Oryzias latipes: one gene and its partners. The protein of the gene in region 2 interacts with the protein of the main gene of each other region in a pairwise test. Links are inferred from orthologs where the notes say so. Each region holds a gene or a part of one and is shown on either strand. Other genes may lie near its edges. The genes, in order: rorb, nrip1 and cep70.

Region 1 (4,191 bases), on a different chromosome or scaffold from region 2:
CTATTAATAGTATGTTACAGGCCACATTCATTGACAGCTTTGTGTATAGAGTCCTTACGTAGTCCCAGTCCACTGCTCTACACTGACCCAGTTTGGAGCCAGTTGGCCGTTAACGGGTGAAAATGGGTCATATCTTGGACAGCGCTAGTACCAGGCAACAGTCTCTTGAACCAAAGTCAGAAGTGTTCCATTCTGTCCCATATTTCTGGTTCTAAGAGGAAAGCAGGTCTCTGCTATTTGGAGAGTTTTGGCTATAGCATGATTGCTTGACTTGCATTCCACATGTTAGGGAATTACTGTCCAAGTCAGGTTTTCTTTATGTGTGTTTGGCATACTGTAAAGAGCAGGAAAATGTCCCAGGACCATTTGTAAGCAATTTTACTAAAAAATAACGTGTCTCAGACATATCAACAATTGTATTACACATAGGGACATCATTGTCATTGTTTTGCCCATGATTTGTGTTTAAACAGCCGAGTACAGCTTTCAGTGCTGCACTTTGACAACAAAATGAGAAATAAAAAAAACTAAAGTTGTATATTATTGGCATTAATACAACAATCCTATTTTGTTTCTAATCTGACAAAGGAAAAAAAGTTTAAGGAGATAACAATGGAGCTATATGAGGGGACTACATCCCTTGGGCTGCATGTTATTGCAGTACGGCTAATTAAAAGGAGTCAGAAATGTACACTGTTACACTGGCAAACTAAAAGGGATTTGTTTAGGTAAATCTAGGGTAAATCTATGAATATGCAGCCATTGTTCAACTTTAGTGAAAGTACAAAAACAAAGAAACTGTTCTTGTATTTTGCATTAATGATTTACATGTTTAACACACATTTACAAGTGTCTCTAAGGTGCAGTTAGATTTTTGTAGTTCACTATAATCATGTCTACCTGGCCAGTTGCTATACAGACATGACTACTTTCATTGATCCTCATAAGAGATTATCCAATTATGAATATTGCACACTCATTCCACCAGGCCTTTTTACATGGACATACACACACACACACACACACACACTTAAATTACAATCCCCTTAAAAGAAAATAAAGTTTATAAACTTTGAGTTGAAAAATGTGAAACTACATTTCTGGATTTACATGCAGTTAACCATGATTTGTACATGAAAATAAGTGTTAGAAATGTTGTCTTAACATGCTTAAGTGAGATCAGTTAATCCAAACGTATACAATTGTAAACAGGGACAATTTGTTTTAAAATTCACAGAAAATGTATAAATTCTTGCAGATTTATCCCACAGGTGGAACTCTGCAAGAGATTATATGAATGGCTGTTTCAGATGGGACTAAGACACTGCTCAGCAGAGGATAGAACAAGCACGTCGGGAAATATTTTAGGATTAGATCGGCTGTCTAATCTCTTTATAGAGCCTGTGCCATCTCAGCAGCATACCTGCCTACCTCTACATACATGTACATCCATATCTTAGCTGGAACTGCCGATTTCTCTTCCTACAATGGAACACATTTTCAAAGCCACATCCTTGTGTGCTGAAATGATTTCCATGTTGTGCCTTTGCTTGTGACTTGTACATGGAGCTTCCTATACACAGTGAGTAAGATAGAAAGATAGAGATAGAAAATTAGTGTATGTCAATTAGAGTATGTTAAATACCAAGAGCAGCTGGCCTGAACCAGGGTATATAAGTGCAGTAAAAAGGGGTATGAAGAGAAAGTATTGTCCTTCTGTGATGTAACCTGTTTCCCATTATAGACAACTTTTTTTTACCTGGAGGGGTCTTCTGCGTCAAATTCAACACAAAAGATAATGCACAAAATCTAGTGATTTATTTGTGACTGATGTGCACATATGCAGTCCTGAGTGCACCAGTCAGTAAAAAAAACTCAAAGATATAATGAATGTTCACATGTCACTGTGCCCTTGTGAATTTGTGGTCCAAAATACTATGCTTGGGCACACTGTGAGCATAGTCAGGTACTTCAGTCCATCCTGTACTGTATCTTCAAATTAAACCACCTGCTGTGGTTAGTGAATGAGTAAGGTGTTACTCTGAGGAGCTAAGGGGCAAATGAACGTTTACTCTGGATTTGAAACAAAATTTGTGACCCATATCTTTTCTCCCATCTTGCTTGTTTTTTCCAGCCCAAATCGAAGTTATACCATGCAAAATCTGTGGAGACAAATCATCCGGAATCCATTACGGAGTCATTACGTGTGAGGGATGTAAGGTAAGGCCTAAATTCCATTGTCAAAAAATATACATGTTACATTTTAAGAAAGCTGAAGTTGAGACCGGTACTCTTTGTTGACCTGCAACCAGGGTTTCTTCAGACGGAGCCAGCAGAACAATGCCTCATATTCCTGCCCCCGCCAGAGGAACTGCCTCATTGACAGAACAAACCGCAACCGCTGCCAACACTGCCGCCTGCAGAAATGTCTTGCACTTGGAATGTCCAGAGATGGTGAGGCCTAGTTGAAATCTTGGTGCTGAATACACAACAATGAATACTGCTCTTGTATATTTTGAACCTATGTTCTACTTTAATAGCTCTGCAAAAAAAAAAAACTTTACACACAAAATGTACTTTTCAAAGCCATCACTAACATCTTTCCCTCTGCATCTTTGTTTTGCCCAAATACAGCTGTTAAGTTTGGCCGCATGTCAAAGAAGCAACGTGACAGCCTGTATGCAGAGGTGCAGAAGCACCAGGCACGGCTGCAGGAGCAGCGGCAGCAGCAGACTGGTGAAGCTGAAGCACTGGCTCGTGTTTATTCCACCAGCCTAACCAACGGACTATCCACTCTCAATCATGAAATCGGAGGGACATATGCCAATGGTCATGTCATAGACCTACCCAAAGGCGGCCATAGTAACGGAGGTGGAATTCCGGGGGGCTACTACGGGATAGATTCAACCCAACCGTCTCCAGATCAGTCGGGTTTGGACATGTCAGGCATGAAGCACATTAAGCAGGAGCCGGTTTACGACCTTACTCCCGTACCCAACCTCTTCAGCTATGGAGGCTACCAGGAAAGTCATCTCGGGCCCAACAATGTCAGCATGGGAGAGCTCGGTAATTTCAGACATTTTGCTCTACAGGCAAAACAGACATTATGACATGACAGTCATCTGAAGTCTGCATAGAAATTGCATAAGGAACATAAATAAGATGTGCTTGAAATAGTTCTAGAGGAGAACCTGAGACATAATTCTAAACTCAGAGTACAACAGGAGATCAGACAGGTTTACATGGCTTACTAACAATGTGTCATGACTGTGGTGACGCTTCAGGGGAAGGATATAGATTTAATGAAAAGGACAAACTTTACATTCAGTAACAAGAATACTGTCAGTAGCAGAAGAGCACACAACTCTGCAGTGATTGAAACACATGACTCTTTAATTTGATACGATTCTTAGTTATCAAATATAGGATGAAAATCGAGAATACATGAGTGTTTCTCTCTTTCAGATCGTATTGCTCAAAATATTATCAAGTCTCATTTGGAGACTTGTCAATACACAACAGAAGAGCTACAGCAGCTCGCTTGGCAGACACATTCCTATGAAGAGATCAAAATGTACCAGAGCAAGGTAAGGATTTAATGTCATTGCCATTATGTACACAAAAAAAACACCGTTTAAACACTGTATATGATAGAACAAAAAACATTTGCAGAACTTTGAATTAGGCATAGAATTCAAAGCGATTTCACAGCTACATTAGTCTCAGCAAATATGCCATTTTTTGTTTAGGTTGTATAATTCCTTCATCTAAATATATGGCATACATGAAATAATTGGGTATGATTGGTTCCAGCCCCGGGACGTGCTGTGGCAGCAGTGTGCCATCCAGATTACCCATGCAATCCAGTATGTAGTGGAGTTTGCCAAGCGCATCTCAGGCTTCATGGAACTGTGCCAGAATGACCAAATCCTACTTCTCAAGTCAGGTATGATAAGTGGAAATGCATCCAATAGATAATAGTATTTTTGATTCTATTTAGTTTAGTGTAAAAAAAATAAAACTGTGGTTTTCAACTCTTTACATTAAATATCAGCTTCATAAATATTTTCTTTTACTTTGTTCATTCAGGTTGTTTGGAGGTAGTCTTGGTCAGGATGTGCAGAGCCTTTAACCCTCTCAACAACACTGTGCTCTTTGAGGGAAAGTACGGTGGCATGCAGATGTTCAAAT
Region 2 (4,119 bases):
TATATGAATGGATGCATGGATGGGTAAATGAATGGATGCATGTATATATATATGACTGGATAAATGAATGGATGAATGGATAAATGAATGGATGCATGGATAGATATATGACTGGATAAATGAATGGATGACTGGATAAATGAATGGATGAATGGACAAATGAATGGATGCATTGATAGATATATGAGTGGATAAATGAATGGATGGATGGCCTTCACAGTAGGATAGCAGATTTGAATAGAATAGAATAAAATTGTATTGCTCCCACTTAGGGGAAATGACCTGACATTACCTTTACATTGAAATGTATAGAGATTTGACTGTACATCAAGCATCCTAGGGTTACCTACAGTCTGACTCCAGTTAGTTTCTTGAAACCAGTCTAGAAGTGAAATAGTTACCGCCTCCCTTTTGCATCATCTTAGACTTTTCAACGAATGCCATTCTGATTGTAGTAAATACAACTTTGAGGGGGCATGAGTTAGTATTTGTTGCAGGTCATCAAAGTGTCCCTCTCCATCTACATACATCAAGGTTTTCTTTGGCTTTCACAAAAGAAAAAAGAAAAAAGCAAATGAACACCTGTCCAATACAAGACTCAGTCCATCCCTGCAAAGCAGCCGCGGAGCAAAGGCTGCAAAGGCAGCTTCCAGAATGATGTTATTCACAGCATCCCATTAATGTTTCATTAGAACATCTGACACAGTTACAAACTAAACAACTAATAAATAAATTACAACTGAAGCCTACATACATGTGTCTCTTTAAAAGAGTGAAATTAGGATCATGTTAAGGAACCAAGATCCAGATTGTGACCCAAAGTTCCCCCGTCATAAAATAAACATCACAATTATAAAGAGATGATGTCCTCCTAAATTATCTTATGGAGAAACAAGAAATAAGTCAGAAAAACCTCCAATAAGATAATTTATCCAATCATATGATCTTTTTGATTCACATTGAGGTCATGGGGTCGTTGGAATCTGCCCAGCTACTGCCAGCCTAAGGTGGGGATCATCCTGGACTAAAAAAAATAATTATTATAATTTACACATTTAAATCAAATTAAAGAAAAATGCCCAAACGCGCGTGATCATCTTTTATTAATGTTCCCCTGAAAGTGATATTTTGGCTCGCGGGAACGAGCACCACTGTCTCCGCGTGATTCATATTTGATAAAAGCGCGCGCTTGGCCACGCGCACAGAACTGAACCATTTCTTTTCTCCACTCTGCGCGTGCGTGGGCCGCAGCTGTGGGGCTTGTTCCTTTAAGGGTGGTGTCAGAGCGGGGCGGGGGGAGGAGGTGTCAGAGGAGGAGGAGTGAGGCAGTCTCTCACTTCTCCACAGAGGAGAATAAACAATCCGCTCGCAGCGCGCGCTCCCCACCTGAGCTTGCGCGGAAACTGAACATTCGAGTCGATATTCGGACTAAGGCTGTAATTTTTACTCCTCTAGAGCCCCCCACCCCGTGCTGTTGGAGCTGCCCCCGCTGTCGGAGCTGCCGCGGCCGGCTCTCTCTCCGCCGTCAGCCGAACAGCGATGCGCCTCTCCGGCGGAGCGCGCAGGTAAGGGGGGGGGGGGGGGTCTGGGTGCTATAACGGGGAAGTCTGGGTGCTGTCATGTCATGTCGGTGTGGGGGTTGGGGGGCTGTGTCACCGCTGCCCGTATGGCGGGTGGGTGGAACGGCGGTCGGTGAAGCAGGCAGCGGGCCGCGCGCAGAGGGATGTCGCGGGAATAAACCTGCTTCCGCTCCGCCTCACCGTTCTCCTTCATTACCGCCCACGGAGCGCGTGTTTCCAGGCCACGGCCTATCTCACGTAAGTTCCGCATGTAGCCGTGCGATGTGGCGTGCGTGCGTGCTCTCTGCGTGGGTAATGCAGGCGCGCGCGCCGTAGGACAGTCGGAGGAGCGTGATGAGCGCAGGGATCTGCGGAGCGCGATCCCCCCTCCCTCAGCTGCTCCAGCTTTGATGACAGTTTGAGGGAACGGTTCGGAGCGTGCGCGCGCGGTTTTGTGTGTGTGTGTGTGTGTGTGTGTGTGTGGGGGGGGGGGGGTCTGGATGCGCGGTGGTTCCGGTCTGACCCACAGCTTGCTCACACACAGACGCTGTAGAGAGGTCTGCAGTCCAGTCGTCCAGGTTTATCACGGATCATCTCAGGATCCTCTTCAGTGACCACTCTTTACACCTGCCCCCCCCCCCTCCAGTGTTGTTCACGCGTGGGAACAGGCAGGACTATATGGGATGCTCAGTGGGACTCCAGCTGATCGGTTGTGTGGTTCTCATGTGTTGTTGGACTTTGCATCAGCGTGGGGGCACAAAGGTAAAGTTGTGGGTGATTTTTCCGGGGTGGGGGCAGAGTTCAGGCTTGTAACATCCTGATGTTGTGATAGCGTGACAGAGCCGCTGCAGGAAGGGTCAAACATGGAGGCCTCTGAGGAGCGTCTGCGTCCGGAGGTTTGGCCCTTCGCCTCTTTTTTCCCAGTTTCAGCCACTGGATTGACCTGAACTCACCCACTCAGGATGCTCCACACGGGGCTCCGCTCGTTTCCACAGTTTGAATAGCACTGGGCGGTTCCACCTGAGAGATTGTCTCACACAACCTCTGTGTCCCTCAGTTGCTTTGACAGACATTTGCGGTTGACCGTTGTGTCCTCGCCTGGAACTTTCGAACGGCCAAATGCAAATGATGGGACAGCCTCTGAGCAGTCACAAGACTGGACTCTGCACTCTGCGCTCCGTCCACCGGCTGCTTTTCATCACAGCAAAGCTTATCTGCCAACAAAACAAGAGCAGCGCCACTGCGGCCGCATGCAGGTGGCGTGCTGGGACGCGCCGCTGCGTGTTCACAGGTGTCATAAAAATGTTTTCCATGGCCTCAGAAGAGGAGAGGGTCAGTGCTTTCATCTCTGCTCCGGACCAACAGAGGGAACTCTTGAAAACCGGTTCACTGCAGAGAAACGGGCCGCGGGAGGCGGCGGCTGTCGGGTCTTGACTGTGGAGACGCTGAAGAAGGAGGGAAGTGACGGTACAATCTAGCAGAGAGCAAGAGCCATGCATCTGCTGCAGAGTTCTTGATTTATGACAGAGCTGGGAGATGCCCAGCGCAGGAGCTGTTTGCCACCGAACATTGTTCAAGGGCACTTTGGCAGGAGACGACGAGGATCAGACTTCCAGTGGAAAGTTATTACATTATAGTTAGTGTGCTCAGCAGGACGGAGAACTGATGGGATGCAGTTACCATGCTGCTCCACGAAGCATGCTGACATGTAGGACCAGTCTCTGCTGCCATCGGCATCCGTCACTCAGGTGTGACTGTTTCAAAGCAAACTTCTATCCCGTCATTCTTTTTGCTCATTTCCCAGTTCGGTGAAGACTTTGTGCCAAATTCTCATTTGGATCCAAAAGCATCTGAATGCAAAATAATTGATTCCAAAAAGAATTTGATGCTAATGGAAGGTTTTTAGAGAAAACAGGGGTTTGTGCTCAAGTGTAATGTAGAATTTGTCGTTCCCTAAAAACAAACAGAAAGTGTCTGGTTTCCCTTATGGGACTCTCAGAGAGACTCTGAATTGTTCTGCAGTTTTAGGGGAAACCGTTTCAGCGTGACTCCTGTTTCACTGGGGTGTGTTTATCTGGAATCTAAAGTAAATGTAGACTGAAAATGAAGCGAGCTGAAGGCGGAGACCCCTGGACAGGATAGCAGTGTCATCAGGTTACAAAAGCCCACCCCTGATTTCAGAAGCAGCTTTGGGACAGACCCAACTTCACACCCAGTGTTCCTCATGGAGCTGTCCTGCAGGAGGTGGTGTGAGAGAAGCTAACCTGCACACCTTTGTTTCTGTCTGTGAAAAGAACAAACTGCATCCACTGCTGCCCATTTTTTACATGGACTTACTCTGCATCCTAATAAGTCTAAGGTGCAGCTTTACCACCAGCTCACTTTCTGACATCAATAGTTTGAAACTGTCAGCCAAGTGAAAACAGAGTGACTCGTCCTCAGAATAGGGGCAATTTAGATTTGGACTTTTCTGAATTGATTAGAATTTTCCAAAGCACAATATTGATGATAGACCCTCTACGGTTCTTGGGTTTTCCATCCGTCCGTCTGAGTCTGGCCC
Region 3 (3,969 bases), on a different chromosome or scaffold from region 2:
AAAAAACAAAAAATAGTATTTGCTAATTTGCTAATAACCCAAATAAATATTTCCTTATTAGCTTAGTAGTTAATAATTGTATTTGCTATCAAACTAAGTAGCTAAAAAAAACAAATACTAGGCTACATCTAAATGATGCACTATGTAGCTCAAGCAGCATTCTGTACAGCTGTCCGAATCTACAATTTCAAAATCGAGAGTCCTGAAAATTTCCCAGAAGTCACTGCAAACAACCACTGTCCATTGATGCTCACCAGTATAAGTATAATATAGTCCACAATGCAATTTCTTCTTAACAATTTTTGTTGAGGGGGAAATAAATGTATTTTTTTAATAAACCATTAACGTTTTCAGTGGTTATATAAAGTCGTATAAAACGCTCAAATGAACTAGATGTTGGTGATGTCATGAACATTTCAGTTTGAGAGAAAAAAAAAGCATTTTTAATGATTTTGATGCTTTTCCACAACCTCATCCCAGACAGAAATACACACTTTACTTTCTAAATCTTTGTTTGAGGCCTCAAACTCCTTTTTTAAGCTATAGATGTGTGAAGCCTTAAATATGAGGAGGATCCTCTTTGGTCTGACAGCAGAAGTGAGAGTTTTTCTCCGTCTTCTTGTCCGTGTAGCTGTCCTCCTTCCTGCGGGTCTCAGCCCCGCCGCCCAGCAGCTACCACCAGGCTAAGCGGGCGGCCGAGGAGTACTGCTCCGCCAAGCACACGCTCTACAGAGCTTTGGCTGACGCTGGACTGGGCATCTGGGTCAAGAAGCCCGCAGAGCAGGACCGGTTCTCCCTGAGCAGCTCCTGACTCCTTTCAGATGAGCTTCCTGGTTGCCATGGAGACGGGACTGGCAGCAGACCCAGCAGTCCAAAAATGGATATCCTCAGTTTTACCTTGTTTCTGACTGACATGTGCAAAGTCTTCTGGCTGACGCAACAGCGCCACCTGCAGGAGGGGAGCCCTCGTACATGGAAATCATTCAGACCATTTGTTTATTAGGAGGAAAAAAGAATTAAATGTTTGATCTTTTTTATGTTCTGTTAAGCTTTGACGCTCAGATGTTGAAATGTTATAAATAAATGAAGAGGAAAAAAACGTGAGTGAGCGAAACAAATTGTTCAATAAAGTTGCATTAAAAAAAATCTTGTCTGTCATTGGCTTATTTTAGTGACGTCATCACGTACGGTTTGAATCTGAGCCCCAAACAGTCAGTTGTGTTCGTGGCGGGTTTTAAAGAGGATTTTTGTTGTTTTTATCCTGTTGAAGTGCTTTTCAGAGGTTTCTACGGAGTCCGGACTGGTTCGGTTCCTTTATTCGGAGAGTTCGAAACGGTGCCGAGAGTCCAACCGAACCTTTTCCACCGGCATTTCCACGGTTCTCATTCAGGAAAGCGGTTCTGTTCCAGGGGACTGACGGGATGTTGCAGGTGAGTCACGTGACACTCCGCTTGGTAACTGAAAACTGAGGAGGGAGGGGGGCTCAGTTTTCAGACGCGCGCGCGCGCCAGAGCACGAGCGTTTTCAGTTGAGTGGAGGTTGTTGGGGTTCAGAGCGGACATGCGGCCCCCGGGGGGAAATGGGACGTTTGTCTACCTGTGGACCTGCAGGCAGTTCCAGGTAGCGCCGCGGTGGGAACCAGGTGGGTCCCGCTTTGACCCGGGCGGTCTGACCCGGGTTGTGTGTTTGTGTGTGTGTCGCAGGAGCAGCAGGCGGAGTGGGAGCCGCTGAACCGGCTGCTGCAGCAGCGGGGCTTCCGGCCGGTGCTCTTTGCGGACCCCGTGGAGAACAAGAACCCTGCAGGTGAGAGCTCAGGTGATGACGTCACCGCCCAGCAGGAAATTCAACCCAAATGGTCCAAAGCTGCCTTTATTTGGTTAAAAACCCAGCAAATGCGGCATTATTGGGACTAAACAGAAACTAGAATCCATTTTTGGTTCTAAATTGATGATCTGGTTCCTGCCTGCTCCTCTGTGCTTCCAGAACTGGGCCTGCTGGACAGGAAGTCCGCAGCGGCGCTCAGGCGGACTCTGGAGACGCTGCTGGCGGACTCGGACAGGAGGCAGGCTCTCCTGCAGGAGCTGGTCGGGTCCAACAACCGGCTCCGGTGAGTGGCGCCCCCAGCTCTGACTGATGACCCCCCCCCCCCCCTTTGCAGCATTGTGGGGGTTCAGGTTTCTCTGTGGTCATCAGTGAGGTCTGGTCGTCTGCAGACCACCTGTCCTGTTATCCAATCCCCCGTCTGCTGTCCAAGCGTAACCGTGGCAACCGCATCTCTGATCCCATCCGATCACACAGAGGCTTTTATTTTGGTAAACGACTGGCGAACATCAGCTGAGGGGAGGACGGCTCCCTCAGGGACAATGTCTCTGTGAGATCCAGGATCAGGATCTCCTGTCAGGAACCGTGAGCTCTGACTGACAGACGGCAGAACCAACTTTTGTCAACTTCTGATCAAACATCCGCACTTCCTGTTAGACTTTTGTTTATCCTGGTTTTATGTAAAAGTTCCTTATAAAACTAAACCCATCAACTTTCATATAAACTCAAAAACATTTAAATTGGTTTAAAGAATATTTACATTTCTTTAAAAATGATGTATTTTTGCATGAAATACCGAAAAACTTTATTTATTCTACAAAAGTCTAAAAAGGTTAAAAAAAAACAAATACAGTTTTAATGATGGGAAATGAAAAACTATTATAGAAGGATTTCAAACTGAATAAAGTTCAAATTGAAATAACAAATGGTTTTAAAAAAATGAAATCAGGCATCCTTACTTTTAGGTTTTACTTGTTTTTTGTTTGCTTGTCAAATGTAACTAAAATGAAAAAATACTCGGCATGTTAATACTTTTTTTTTTTTTGTCATTTAGTATTTTATTGGTAATTTCTTGTTTGATAAATCCATGCTCTTATTTTGAAATATTTTATTGTATTTATGTATTTATAAATTTCAATGGATTTCTTAAATTATATATATATATATATATATACATTTATTTACCACCAGTTTTAACTTGTAGTTTAAAATTGATATTAAAATATATTTTTTACTACTTTTATTTACCTTTTATTCATAGTTTGACACTAAAATGATCAGAATCATCAATCAATCTGTAAATAATCATTTTAGTATTTTGAATGTCAGTTTTAGTTCTGTCCAGCAGGAATGAAGCCTTAAAAAAGGGGGCGGAGTCAGGAAAACAGAGGCTTTTCTCCTGTTGGTCTTTTTTTATTTTTATTTCTTTATTTTTTTTCTCCAGGGAGGAGGTCCAGGAGCAGATGAGTCGCGCCGCCCAGCACTCCCAGAGGGCCTCGGAGCTGCAGGCGCTGCTGGACCAGGTGAAGGTGAAGGTCCAGGACCTGGAGGACCGCTGCATCTGCAGGGCTGCGCAGACGCACAGCCGCACGCTGCAGCTGCAGCGCCACAGCGCAGAGGCCATAGTCAGTCCCTGATCTTTGCCTTCATTCATCTGACTTCCCAGTTTTCATCAAAAACCGTAGAAATTCAGCATAAAAAAAACAAAATTCAATGAAACCTTTTATTTTGAAATGCAGCTACTCTCCCAGTACTGCTGTCCCTCAAACAGATTTCAAAATAAGAGACAAATCAACTTCTACATGCCCCTCTGCCCCTGATACCCTGATCAGAGCTGCGACGTCATGAGATGTGACACTTTCCTTAAAAAAACATTTTTCACAATGGTGCTTTTTGGTTTGTTTTATCTCCATAGCAACCATTTAGTATTTCGATCGATTTTGTTTTTTAAACCACGCCCACATTCTTAATATATTCATATAGCTGATCCATGCTTAAATCAAAAACTTCTAGTTTAAAGGTTTTTTTCTTTTCTAGGAGTTTAAATGTGTAGCTGCTCCTAAAGATGATTTTTACGAAACATTCAAGATGGTGGTCTCTTCCTCGGGTCAAAGGTCAACAAACCTTCAGTTGTAGTCGTATAGGGAG

The links.
Region 1: the proteins of nrip1 (region 2) and rorb interact in a two-hybrid assay, tested with the Homo sapiens proteins (2 studies listed by BioGRID). The link is inferred for Oryzias latipes from reciprocal best matches to the Homo sapiens genes NRIP1 and RORB.
Region 3: the proteins of nrip1 (region 2) and cep70 interact in binary tests that used the Homo sapiens proteins (3 or more experiments, as listed by UniProt). The link is inferred for Oryzias latipes from reciprocal best matches to the Homo sapiens genes NRIP1 and CEP70.

The regions. Positions count from the first base shown.
Region 1 is NC_019867.2:18,578,632-18,582,822, forward strand, and holds the start of rorb (nuclear receptor ROR-beta), read left to right. Parts: upstream 1-1,391; 5' UTR 1,392-1,563; coding exon 1,564-1,582; intron 1,583-2,134; coding exon 2,135-2,220; intron 2,221-2,312; coding exon 2,313-2,454; intron 2,455-2,634; coding exon 2,635-3,066; intron 3,067-3,465; coding exon 3,466-3,587; intron 3,588-3,813; coding exon 3,814-3,946; intron 3,947-4,089; coding exon 4,090-4,191. UniProt on the Homo sapiens protein: Nuclear receptor that binds DNA as a monomer to ROR response elements (RORE) containing a single core motif half-site 5'-AGGTCA-3' preceded by a short A-T-rich sequence.
Region 2 is NC_019872.2:2,611,418-2,615,536, forward strand, and holds the start of nrip1 (nuclear receptor-interacting protein 1), read left to right. Parts: upstream 1-1,319; 5' UTR 1,320-1,565; intron 1,566-1,710; exon of another isoform or gene 1,711-1,817; intron 1,818-4,119. UniProt on the Homo sapiens protein: Modulates transcriptional activation by steroid receptors such as NR3C1, NR3C2 and ESR1. Also modulates transcriptional repression by nuclear hormone receptors.
Region 3 is NC_019860.2:1,160,721-1,164,689, reverse strand, and holds the start of cep70 (centrosomal protein of 70 kDa), read left to right. Parts: upstream 1-1,169; 5' UTR 1,170-1,421; coding exon of another isoform or gene 1,422-1,430; 5' UTR 1,431-1,560; coding exon 1,561-1,620; intron 1,621-1,703; coding exon 1,704-1,803; intron 1,804-1,983; coding exon 1,984-2,107; intron 2,108-3,265; coding exon 3,266-3,446; intron 3,447-3,969. Other genes in the region: double-stranded RNA-specific editase 1, read left to right, coding at 632-811.